3 linked regions of the Ovis aries genome follow. The protein of the gene in region 2 interacts with the protein of the main gene of each other region in a biochemical or structural test. Links are inferred from orthologs where the notes say so. Each region holds a gene or a part of one and is shown on either strand. Other genes may lie near its edges.

Region 1 (3,996 bases), on a different chromosome or scaffold from region 2:
GAGAACCCTGGTCTCGGACAGCAGGGGCTGGAGGAGTCGCCTCAGGGGCCCCATCCTGTTAACTGAGAGAGCCAGAGGGGTGTGCGGGCCAGACACGTGCCCAGGTCTGGGGGTCCGGGCTTTCCCTTGTGAGTGGTTTTGTCTGTGTTCAGGAAAGTTCTCTGAGACTTGCTGAATGTTCATTTAACCCTGTTTTCTCATTTCCCCTAAATGTTCTAATTAACCCAATTTGGGAGGTAATCTCACAGGTGAGTACCAAGCACGAATTTAAAAGCATCTGTTCTGTGGCTAGATGCCCAGTTCCCCTATCGACGCTTATCAAACCCACCCACCCTTTCTCACTGGCTTGTGGATGTGCAGGATGTGGAGGCCAGCTGCGCTCAGCACGGTTCCTCGCGTTTCACCAGCCAACTGCTGTCCTGCTCAGCGTGCTTTTCACCTGTGAAGACAGGGGCACTGCCCGTCTTCAAGGCCACCTGCCAGCATTCCCACTGCCAGGACACCCCTGCTCTAGACATCACGGTCTCCCAGGGTCAGCCTCCGTCCTTGCCCATGACCGGAGCACCTTGACCTTGGGGCCTGGCGACCTCCCACCCTGGAGAGCCCTCCTGACCCTCGAGTGCCAGGACCCCTCGGGAGTTCTGGAACGAAGCACAGGTCGCTCGCTGGGGCTGGGGGTGGGGTGGGGGAGGTCGGATTTACACCGACTTCGGCCACATACCTGGCCGCTTCCCAGGGACCACTTCCACCGCCCCGGTTCCGGGGGAGCTGCCCCGCCCAGGCCTGTGCCCTCCTCGGTCCCCGGATCTCAAGCACAAGGGCCGGTTATCTCAGAGGAACCTCCGGGGGCGGCGCCGCTGCCTCCCCCGACCTCGTGGCCCCAAGGAGCCCAAAGGACCCTTAAAACCCGGGGTCGCAGACGCCGCTCGCTCGGCGGCCGGCGCGTGGGTGCGGGGATGGGAGCACGCGGGAAGGTGCACGAGGGGCTCAGCGGGCTCCAGGCCGGGGGGCCGCGGCGAGAGCGCGCGCGGGGCCCGCGGGGCGCCCGGCAGGTGCGGCCGGCGGGGCGGGGCGGGGCGCCGGGCCCGGGGGGCGGGCGGGGCGGGCGGGCGCGGCCTGCAGCCGCCCGCGTGGTCTGCGCGGCGCCCGCTCCTGGAAACAGGAGGCCGCCGCGCCGGAAGCCCCGCCCGCGCGCGCGCCCTGTCCCCGCCCGGTGGAGCGGCTGCTGGCGCGGCGCGGCGGCTCGGCACGGCGGCGCCCGGGCGCAGGCAAGCGGGCGGAGCGGCGGACGGCGCCCAGGCCGCGCCACGCGCCGGGCTCGCGGCGGAGCGCGCCGGACTGGTCGGGGCCCGCGGCCGCCCGCACCTTTCCATGGGCAGCTCGCACTTGCTCAACAAGGGCCTGCCGCTCGGTAAGGCCGCGCGCGCGCATTTCCGGCCGCGGGGGCGGGGCGGGGCGGGGCCGCGGGGGCGGGCGGGGCGGGCGCGGGCGCCGGCTTTGTGTGCGAGTGCGCGTGCGCGCCGGCGTCCGCGCGCCGGGGGCCGGGGCCGCGGGGGGCGCCGTGCGCATGCGCGGGCTGCTGCGTGCGCGCCGGCGCCCGGGGGGCGGGGCCGGGGTCAGGGCCGCGGGGGCCGCCGCGCGCGTGCGCGGGCTGCTGTGCGCGAGTGCGCGTGCGCCGCCGCCCCGCCCGCCCGCCCGCCCGCGCAGGTGACACAAAGGGGTGCGGGGCCCTGAGGACCGTGGCGGCCGGGACTCCGCGCCCGAGGCGGGGGCCCTGCCGGCCTGTCCGCCCTGCGGTCCCGGCTGGCGGGGCTCCTGCCGGCGGGGCCCCGCAGGGAGGCCGGGCGCGCCGGCGGCCCCGAGTCCTCTGGGGCTGGGCCTTCCGGGGCTTTGCGCCCCCGTGCACTGCGGCCCCGCTGTGGAAACGTCTGACGGGGCGCGGCGGCGGGGGTGACACCCGGCCCGGGCCCGTGTCCGCCCGAGCGGCCGGACGGTTGTGGCCGCGTCCGTCTCACCCCGTCCCCTCCTTGCTCTGTCAAGTGTGGGGAGCAGGCGCACTCCGTGCCCGGGCGGCGCCCCGAGCCTGCGGCCGGGGGCGGCCCGCGGTGGGGCTTTGCTGGCCGCCGCGCGCCGCCGCCGTCGGGCCGGGCCGTGTCCACCTGTCACTGCCCCCGAGCAGGCCCAGCTCCCCCGGCCGGGCCCCCCTCGCGCTGGGGGCGCGTCCGGGCCCCGGGCTCCGAGGTCTGTGGACGCAGGAGCGGCCGTGGGTCCGGGCGGGGCTCCCTCTGGCCGGTGCCTGCCTGCCGCGGAGGGTCCCCCCCCACCCCCGGCCCTGGGCTTGCCGGGAGGGCGGCCTGTGGCGGGCAGCCTCCTTTCCGGTGATGCTCTTCTCTGTGGTTGGTTAGGACAGGCTCGCTGTTGGGGCGTGCGATGGGATTGGTTTTCTTCCGAGCCCGCCCCGAGGAGTGATACCACCCCTCCCGTTTGTCTGGATGACTGGACAGTTGGGTCGCACATGAGGGGTCCAGAGTGGGGTCTGCAGGTCTTACCCCGCGGGGGCACCTTCTCCCTCTCCAGGATCCCCCCACCCAAGTCTCAAATGTATGTACGCAGAGGCAGACAGACACTCAGGAGAAAGCTCGTCTCCAGCAGTGTGGACGGGCGGGTGCCCTGTGGGTTAGCGTCTCCTGTCCATTCTTGCACGGGGCGGCATCCCTGAGCCTCTGGACGAGTGGCCGCAGCAGGCAAGAGCGCAGGCCTGGCGCTCAGGGAGCCCAGGCTGAGCCCCTGCCTGGTGCATGGTCGTGGCCTTGTGCTCTCTGCGCTGTGGCTGTAGAGGGGCTGGAGCGTTAGAAGTGGGGCCACGTGACGGAGCGGGTGCCACCTGTCAGGTGGAGGGGCAGGGCGGGGGATGGGGAGGGTGCTAGGCCCTGGAGGTAGGGGGCAAGGCTCAGGACCGGGGTCCCTGTGCAGACTGTCCCTCCGGAAGGCAGGAGGGTGGCGTGCAGGGCCGCGGTTTGTTTCACAGTGAACCTGCCCCTCTCTGTCACTTGATTTGGGTGAAGTTTTCCTGGGACTCTTGAGCATCACGAAGGTAGCAGGGCATGTGCACACAGGTGGGCGTGAGTGAAGACGGTGGCAGAGATGAATTCGAGTGGCGAGGGGTCTTCGTGACACATACGTGCCTCGCGTCACGGCTTTTATCTAGCACGTGTGCGGGGCGCCTTTTGGTTTCTGAGGAGCTGAGGACACTGCGCTGTGAGGCTGACTCTTGGTGGGTGGGCCTGCTGCGGGTGCTCTGAAGCCCTGTGTGCCTGGGGGAGCCCCCTGGCCTTGCCTCCAGGGGCTCAGCATCCACCACAGCCAGACCCGCCCTGTCAGTGTGGCCAGAACCCTGCTCAGACGGCTGTGCTGGGGGCAGGGGTGAGCTGGAGAAGGCGTGGCTGCTGCCGGCTCTTCCGACAGAGTGACACGGGGGTGGGCGGGGGGCCTTGGTGTGTCAGCTGTGACTCGTGGTCAGCCAAAGGGCACATCCTGACCGATGGGCCGGCTTTGCAGAGGAGGATGGGAAGGTACCAGGGGCAGTGACGCATGCGCTTCCTGCTGATGAGGCGTGTGCAAGGGACTGCGGTGACCAGGGGGCCGCAGTGTGCAGGCCGGAAGCCTGGTGGAGCGTGGGGGCCGTGGGGCCGGGGAGATGGCTGGAGGGCTGGACGTGGGGTCAGGGACCCTGTTCGTGGCTGCAGAGTTTGGAACTTGAGTTTGAGGCGGCAGTTCTGGGGCTGGAGCGGAAGCAGAGGCTGTTCGGAGGTGAGCTCTGGGAGTGTCCGCTTTGCGATGCTCCGTAGCCCTGCACCAGGCGGCATGAGCCAGTGCGTGCCCCTGAGCCAGCGCTGCGGGTGCGCTGAGGCCTAGGCCTGGGCTCTCAGGAACCCGGGGCGTTCTGCAGATGCAGGGATGTGCTGTGACCAGTCTGGGGGCTCAGCGACTCTGGTG
Region 2 (3,511 bases):
CATCGAGTCTGTGATGTTACTCTTGGCCTAATGTACAGCCCATATCCAGATTGCCCATCTGCCCTAATTCTGTTGTTTATGGTATCTATTCCTGTTGTTGGAGGACCAGTCTGGGGTCACATGTTGCATTTAATTCTGATCTCTTCAGCTTGTTAATCTGTTTAGTTTATTCCAGAGCAGTTTCTCAGCCCTCTGTTGGCCTTTTGTGGCAGCGGCATTGTTGCAGAGCCCTGCTTTGGCATAAGGGCCCTGTATGTGTGTCTGTTCACTGATGATTAGATTCAAGTAAAGCCTTTGGGGCAAAAGGGCTGCTGTCATCTCCTGTCTTATCCAGGCGCAAAGCAGTCCTAGATGTTTCTGACAGCTGCCAGGAAATGAAGAAATAAGATGATTTTTCAAAACATCTGTAACAATTTTTTTTAGAATGGCTCTGCTGGGTGAAGGTATCCATGTTTAATTTGTCGTGTTTCCTTAGAGATTTATTTTGTGCAGTTGAGGATAATTCACGGGATTGGAATGCTGTTAAGAGAGCGATCTCCTTGTAAAGTTGCCCTTTCCATTTCCTTTTGGGTGTCCAGTCCTTGGGGCCTTCTGTGTACATGTCTTTCCGGGATTTAGTGACTCCACAGAGTAGTTTTGCTCAGTTTGTTTCAGCTGTGAAGTGTGGATGTCATCACACATTCCACGATTTGTTGGGTGGATTGAGTAGTGTCCTGAAGTTGCCTTGTACTGGTATGCACAAGGCACCTGTTAAATTCTCAGGAGTTTTAGGAGATGGTCATTAAACGTGTTGACCACAGTGGCAGATGGGCCTCCAGCATCAGCTGTAGACCAGTGAAGCGGGCAGTGCCAGCAGCTGGCCCTTCTGCCTTGGGGGTCTGTTTGTTGAACACTGACCTGCACCCCACTGCCTGGGTTAATAGGATGGGGCGCAGGGTGCTGGTAGGAGGTTGTACTGCCAGCTTGATTGAGAGTGGTCAACACGACTCCTTTGCAAAGAAGCCTCTCTTCCTCCGAAAGAGAGGTGCTGGTAGTATAGACGTGACTACCACTCATGGGCCTGCAGGGAGAATTGGGGTCTGGGATCCCAAGGGTGCTCAGCCAGACGGGATTCCGAAAACCAAGGACTGGCTGGCTGCAGCGCACAGGACAGACGCAGGCTGCCTCCCCCATTAAATCAAGTCCTCGGGTGCTCTGCCCTGCCCACACGTGTCTGCGTGGTCCCTCCGTGTTCTCCCCACCGTGGTGTCTGCGTGCTCCCGGCCACGTTCTCCCCGCCGCGGTGTCTGCGTGGTCCCTCCGTGTTCTCCCCGCCGCGGAGTCCGCATGGTCCCAGCCGTGTTCACCCCGCCGCGGAGTCCGCAGCTGCCGCAGAGGCCTCCTGACTTGCAGATCCAAACATGAGTTGTTTGGCCCTTCAGAGAAAGTCTGGTGACTCCTGGTCTGTACCACGTCTCCATGGACACGTGGGAGGCTCTGGTCTGGCAAAACGCTCTGCCTAGCTGCCTTTTCATGGCTTGTGTGTTACCGGTTGGGACCCCGAAACCCAGGAATGCGTATCTCACTAGCACACGGAGGAGGGGCGCTGCTGTGAGCTGTCCCTTCCGTCTTAGGGAGGCGCCCTGTGTGACCCCTTGTCTCCTCCTCCCAGACCAGCTTTCTGTCGGCACACTCGGCCAGGGACGAGGCGGCCAGGCTGGAGGAGCGCAGGGGTGTGATCGAGTTCCACGTGGTGGGCAACTCCCTGAGCCAGAAGCCCAACAAGAAGGTGCTCATGTGGCTGGTGGGGCTGCAGAACGTGTTCTCGCACCAGCTGCCGCGTATGCCCAAGGAGTACATCACCCGGCTCGTCTTCGACCCGTGAGTCGTGCCCGGCTCTGCTTTCCACTTTCCTGATGTGTTTTGTAAAATGCATTCTTTTTTTTAAGATTTTTTTTTTTTTACTTAAAAAATTATTTATTTTTAATTGAAGGATAATTGCTTTACAAAATTGTGTCTGTTTCTACCAAACATCAACGTGAACCAGCCTTGAAGCGCTTTTTCTTGATGTGGACCATTTTAAAGTCTCTTGAATTTTTTGCAATATCATTTCTGTCCTATGTTTTGGTTTTTTTCATCCTGAGGCACGTGTAATCTCAGCTCCCTGGTCAGGAATCAAATGGGGGTTTGACCCCACCCTCTGTGTTGAAAGGTCAGGTCTTCACTGGGCCATCAGGGACTTCACTCTCCTTTGTAAAGGAGAGAGGAACCGCTCGGGTAGTGAAAGTCAGGCACAGTCACCCACCGCGTCCTGCTGCTGCTTGTCAGCTGCGCGGGCAGAGCGACGTCCCTGCCGTGGCCGCGGCCCCAGGCATGCAGACGAGTTTCCCAGCAGCTGACTAGCTTCTATTACCGAGGCTCCTGCTTCAGGCTGCCGGCGGCGCCCTGCGCTTCGGCCACTGCATCAGTGGAGGGACATACAGACCTGGAGCGGATGCCCCAGTTTCCTCACAGCCAGGCTCTGATTTTGGCGTCTTAAGCAGGCTCAGCTCTTGCCTGGGCCTGTAAGCCCTGGCAAGATTACTGTGCTGTTAGGGTCACTTTGATCACCCATTGCATAAAAAAGGGGAAAGACAGGAAAGGGAGCTTCCGTAATTGAATGCATTTTAACATACAGAGCCCAGTTGCCCGTGTGGACTGTGGCCCATGCCCGTGACTGTTCAGAGTGACGTTTTAGGCAGAAGGCCTGATGGAATTCTGGAAGGCAGGTTTTAGCAAATCGTGCAGATGGATTGTGTTTTCATTTCCTTATAGCTTCTGTGGTATTTCTGAGTGAGAGTGAACTCTTCAGAAACGTGTGCCCATGTCCCTGGCTTTTGCTCCCCCTGGGCTTGTGGGCATCGGACATGACCCTGTTTCACCACCTGTCAGCGCCTGTCCACAGGCTCTGTTCTTCGTCTAGGGGCTCAGGCCCCTTCAGGTGGCTGGCGCTTGTCCTCATGAACACTCCGGGGATGTCTTGGGAGGCAGGCTCACTCTAAGACATTCACTTACAGAATGTTCTAGTGAGATGGTGGCCAGACAGAGGCAGTTTCCACAGAAAAATCAAGAAAGAACCCCCCCTCCCTTCCAGTTTTCCTGATGTGTTAGTGAGGAACACCCCAAACAGGAGGTAAAACAGTGATGCAACCTTATTCTTCCAGGAAACACAAAACCCTTGCTTTAATTAAAGATGGCCGTGTCATTGGCGGTATCTGCTTCCGGATGTTTCCATCCCAGGGCTTCACAGAGATTGTTTTCTGCGCTGTAACCTCTAATGAACAAGTCAAGGTAAGGCTCACCCAGGGTCTCAGAAGAGATGCAGGATGTGGTGCTTTTCACAGAAGCTGCAGAGCGTGGCAGGGTCTCCACGTCCAGAGAGTCCTGGACTCTCTGAGGAGCATCCTCTCATTGCAAGTGTGTGTGTGTGTGTGTGGGGGGGGGGCACACGCTTCCACACCCACAGTCATTCTCTACTGGGCTTTGTTGGACC
Region 3 (3,936 bases), on a different chromosome or scaffold from region 2:
ACAGTTCTTCTGTGTATTCTTGCCACCTCTTCTTAATATCTTCTGCTTCTGTTAGGTCCATACCATTTCTGTCCTTTATTGAGCCCATCTTTGCATGAAATGTTTCCTTAATATCTCTAATGATCTTGAAGAGCTCTCTAGTCTTTCCCATTTTATTATATTCCTCTATTTCTTTGCACTGATCCCTGAAGAAGTCTTTCTTATCTCTCCTTGCTATTCTTTGGAACTCTGTATTCAAATGGGTATATCTTTCCTTTTCTCCTTTGCTTTTCACTTCTCTTCTTTTCACAGCTATTTATAAGCCCTCCTCAGACAGCCATTTTGCTTTTTTGCATTTCTTTTTCTTTGGGATGGTCTTGCTCCTACAGTGTCATGAACCTGCATCCATAGTTCATCAGGCACTCTATCAGATCTAGTCCCTTAAATCTATTTCTCACTTCCACTGAAATAATCATTAAAGATTTGATTTAGGTCATACCTGAATGGTCTAGTGGTTTTCCCTACTTTCTTAAATTTAAGTCTGAATTTGGCAATAAGGAGTTCATAATCTGAGCCACAGTCAGCTCCTGGTCTTTTTGCTGACTGTATATAGTTCTGTAAAATATCAACTATTAGGAAGAAAGGAAGGGGCAAGGAGAAGGAAGATAGAAGCAAGCAAGCAGGCAAATAATAAGTTCTACCCCAGGAGATAATTTTGAAGAGACTGAGATTATATTACCACTAAGATCTCATCCCTCCAGAGAGCAATTCTGAAACTGCAGCTTGAGTTCAATTTTTCTTTCTTTTCCCCCCAGAGATGAGTGGAGGGGGTTACAATCTAAAAACCAAGATTTTTAACTTCTAAGACAAGCTTCTGTTTCACAGGTATGTTTTATGTATGCTGAGACAGGGAAGTCTTCTCATATAGCAGTCACCTAATTTGTGTGGGATCTGGGAAAAGTTCATTTAACTCCAAAATTTAAAAGTGGTCTTTTTGAGAAATTCTACTTCGAGTTTTTATTTCCTTATCCAAACACACTGATGTATGTCACCTAAATATGGTGCTTATAAACCAAAGAAAAGACTTTCCCCTACCTTTTTAATATGCAGTCAACCGCTGACTTTTCGTGGCTCTTCCCCTCATCCAGCCCCACTGACTCCTTTTCCACAACCAAGGCCCTTCCTATCAGGATTATTTTGGGAGTAGTATGTTCTCTTAAAAAATTTTCCCAAGAAAAATTAGCACACCTTCCTCTCCACCTGGGGCCCTCCTAGTCTGCAAATGAGGTGACACCAGATGGGGAGGTCAGAAAATTCAAACCATTTCCCCTCCTAGAATTGGGAGTGCCACACTTTCAACCTCTTCTAGTGCCATCCCAGGAAGGTAAATGACCCAGGAAACTGGAACCCAGATATCAGGAATGCAAGAAAAATGGAAACGGCTTTACATTGGCTGTTTCCATCACTATACAATTATAATGAGAAATTAGAAAATCTCATTTCAACCATGTGCAGAGTTTAATACCTTATAAAAGTGTCCGCGGTTTGCTAAAGGAACAACAGGTGATTTTGCTTAGTTTCCCCAATAACAGGGAGAAAACCCCACTGATTTGCCTTCCCTGCAACCTGCCCTGAAAAGACAACCTGCATAAAGATGCCTTGAGGATCGGGACCCTGAAATCCCCCCAACCACTTCCTTACCCGGAAGGAAAATTCTAATCACCATCAAAAATTTTAAGAGGCCTCGTGAAGAGTGAGCATTTCCAAGCATCTGGATGCTTAGTCCATGGGAAACGGGAAGATGTGTCTTTCGGGGAACGTCTCTTAAATGCCAAGAGACTTTTCAAGTAGCTAGAGGTTCTGGCTCCAAAATTGCTTCAACTATTAACCCCACTAGAGTAGATGTAGATGCTTAAATCAATAGGACAGAATTGCATTTACCGCGCGAGAAAACGGCAGTTACAGTCTTTCTTCGACAAAGTGGGTGGCTCTGAAAAGAGCCTTTGGATTAACTGCCTATGCAGGCACTCATTTGGAGCTGGTGTATTTAGTGACGGCCTTGGTACCCTCAGACACAGCATGCTTGGCCAGCTCCCCGGGCAGCAGCAGGCGCACGGCCGTCTGGATCTCCCTGGATGTGATGGTCGAGCGCTTGTTGTAATGCGCCAGGCGTGACGCCTCGCCCGCGATGCGCTCGAAAATGTCGTTCACAAAGGAGTTCATGATACCCATGGCCTTAGATGAGATACCAGTATCTGGATGGACCTGCTTCAGAACCTTGTACACATAAATAGAGTAGCTCTCTTTACGACTGCGCTTGCGTTTTTTGCCATCTTTTTTCTGTGCTTTAGTGATGGCTTTCTTAGAGCCTTTTTTAGGAGCGGGAGCAGATTTAGACGGCTCAGGCATTGTTTTGCCCTAGAAACGTTAGATGATAGCCTCCGCGACTAAGATTACCAGTATGAGTTCAAAAACCAGATATTTATAGCGCTTCAATGTAAATGAGGAATGAAAAATTCTCACTTTTGATTGGGTAAGATCAGTACAGGTTCACTAAGGTCTGGAGGGAGGGGTTTATGCAAATAAGGGATACACATATTCTCTTTCTATTGGATAGAAAAACCTTCGTCCTTCTGACCAATAGGAGACCTAAGTGGCGCATCCCTCTACTGTCTATTAAAAAAATATTTTTATCCCCCCTTGGTCGTCCAGGGTTTTTTTTTTCCTGCTCACAAGTTTTGCTGTTGAGTTTTACAAAGTAACTATGTCTGGACGTGGTAAACAAGGAGGCAAAACTCGAGCTAAAGCCAAAACTCGGTCTTCCCGGGCTGGTTTACAATTTCTAGTGGGGCGAGTGCACCGCCTGCTCCGCAAGGGCAGCTATACCGAGCGGGTTGGAGCCGGCGCTCCGGTGTACTTGGCGGCGGTGCTGGAGTACCTGACGCCTGATATTCTGGAGCTGGCGGCAACGCGGCCCGGGACAAAAAGAAGACCCGCATCATCCCGCGTCACCTGCAGTTGGCTAACCGCAACGACGAGGAGCTGAACAAGCTGCTGGGCAAAGTCACCATCGCTCAGGGCGGCGTCCTGCCCAACATCCAGGCGGTGCCGCTGCCCAAGAAGACGGAGAGTCACCACAAGGCGAAGGGGAAGTAAAGCCTAGACAAAAGAAGAAACTTTTTAATAAACTATTCAAAGACTTTTCACAGCCATCCACATTTTTATTAAAAAAAAAAAAAAAAAGCTGGTAGCCAGGTTATGCTGCGTAGGTGGTTAATTGTAAAAAGACAAATGACATTAAAACAAAGACTCTGGAAATGTTCTCACAAGCATTATTTTACTGCATAGCTGGCGAAACCTTTGTAATCCACAAGGGCCTTTATAAAGAGAAGGGGAGACTAGAGCGGTACTTAGTCTTGAGGATAACAAAAAGCAATTACTCTTGCCAAGATTATTTTTCTCTTGCCTTTGCTTTCAAAATTTTAAAACAATCCCCCCGCCCCCCCATGGAAGTTTATCAGGATCCAGTGTATATATGTCATCAATTCCACCTTTGCATGCATGTGATTTTTTAAAATCATCCACCCAGGGACCCTGGCATGTAGTTTTACAGAAGATAAACTCAGAATTAGGGGAGATCTGATGACCAAAGTTAGAAAGTGGTAGTCCTGGTAGTTCGAGATTTACTTAAAGCTGACCCAACTGTGGGGGAGAAAGATCAATTGTATTCAATTTAGGATTGGAGCAGAAATACTGACAATCTTGAGAACGTGTCAAGAATTAAGAATATCAGGTCCCACCCGTATACTGAATCAAAAGTTAACATGGTGGGTAAATGGCTCGTTATGTACATTGAAGTTGGCAATAAGATGAAACAATTTAGGAAAATTCCTTCAGGTCGCCTAGATTTAAAAAAAAAGGCATAGGAAATAGGTGTAGAAGTAATTCATCCAATCA

Evidence for each region. The genes of interacting proteins can lie anywhere in the genome.
Region 1: the proteins of KAT2B (region 2) and CTBP1 form a complex in vitro, tested with the Homo sapiens proteins (2 studies listed by BioGRID, with this or other methods). The link is inferred for Ovis aries from reciprocal best matches to the Homo sapiens genes KAT2B and CTBP1.
Region 3: of the proteins of KAT2B (region 2) and histone H2B type 1-B, one has a biochemical effect on the other in vitro, tested with the Homo sapiens proteins (3 studies listed by BioGRID). The link is inferred for Ovis aries from reciprocal best matches to the Homo sapiens genes KAT2B and H2BC3.

The regions. Positions count from the first base shown.
Region 1 is NC_056059.1:117,891,774-117,895,769, forward strand, and holds the start of CTBP1 (C-terminal-binding protein 1), read left to right. Parts: upstream 1-1,189; 5' UTR 1,190-1,371; coding exon 1,372-1,411; intron 1,412-1,653; exon of another isoform or gene 1,654-3,810; intron 3,811-3,996. UniProt on the Homo sapiens protein: Corepressor targeting diverse transcription regulators such as GLIS2 or BCL6. Has dehydrogenase activity. Involved in controlling the equilibrium between tubular and stacked structures in the Golgi complex.
Region 2 is NC_056054.1:278,356,305-278,359,815, forward strand, and holds part of KAT2B (histone acetyltransferase KAT2B), read left to right. Parts: intron 1-1,651; coding exon 1,652-1,860; intron 1,861-3,182; coding exon 3,183-3,309; intron 3,310-3,511. UniProt on the Homo sapiens protein: Functions as a histone acetyltransferase (HAT) to promote transcriptional activation. Has significant histone acetyltransferase activity with core histones (H3 and H4), and also with nucleosome core particles.
Region 3 is NC_056073.1:30,871,959-30,875,894, reverse strand, and holds the start of histone H2B type 1-B, read right to left. Parts: upstream 2,435-3,936; 5' UTR 2,389-2,434; coding exon 2,008-2,388; 3' UTR 1-2,007. UniProt on the Homo sapiens protein: Core component of nucleosome. Nucleosomes wrap and compact DNA into chromatin, limiting DNA accessibility to the cellular machineries which require DNA as a template.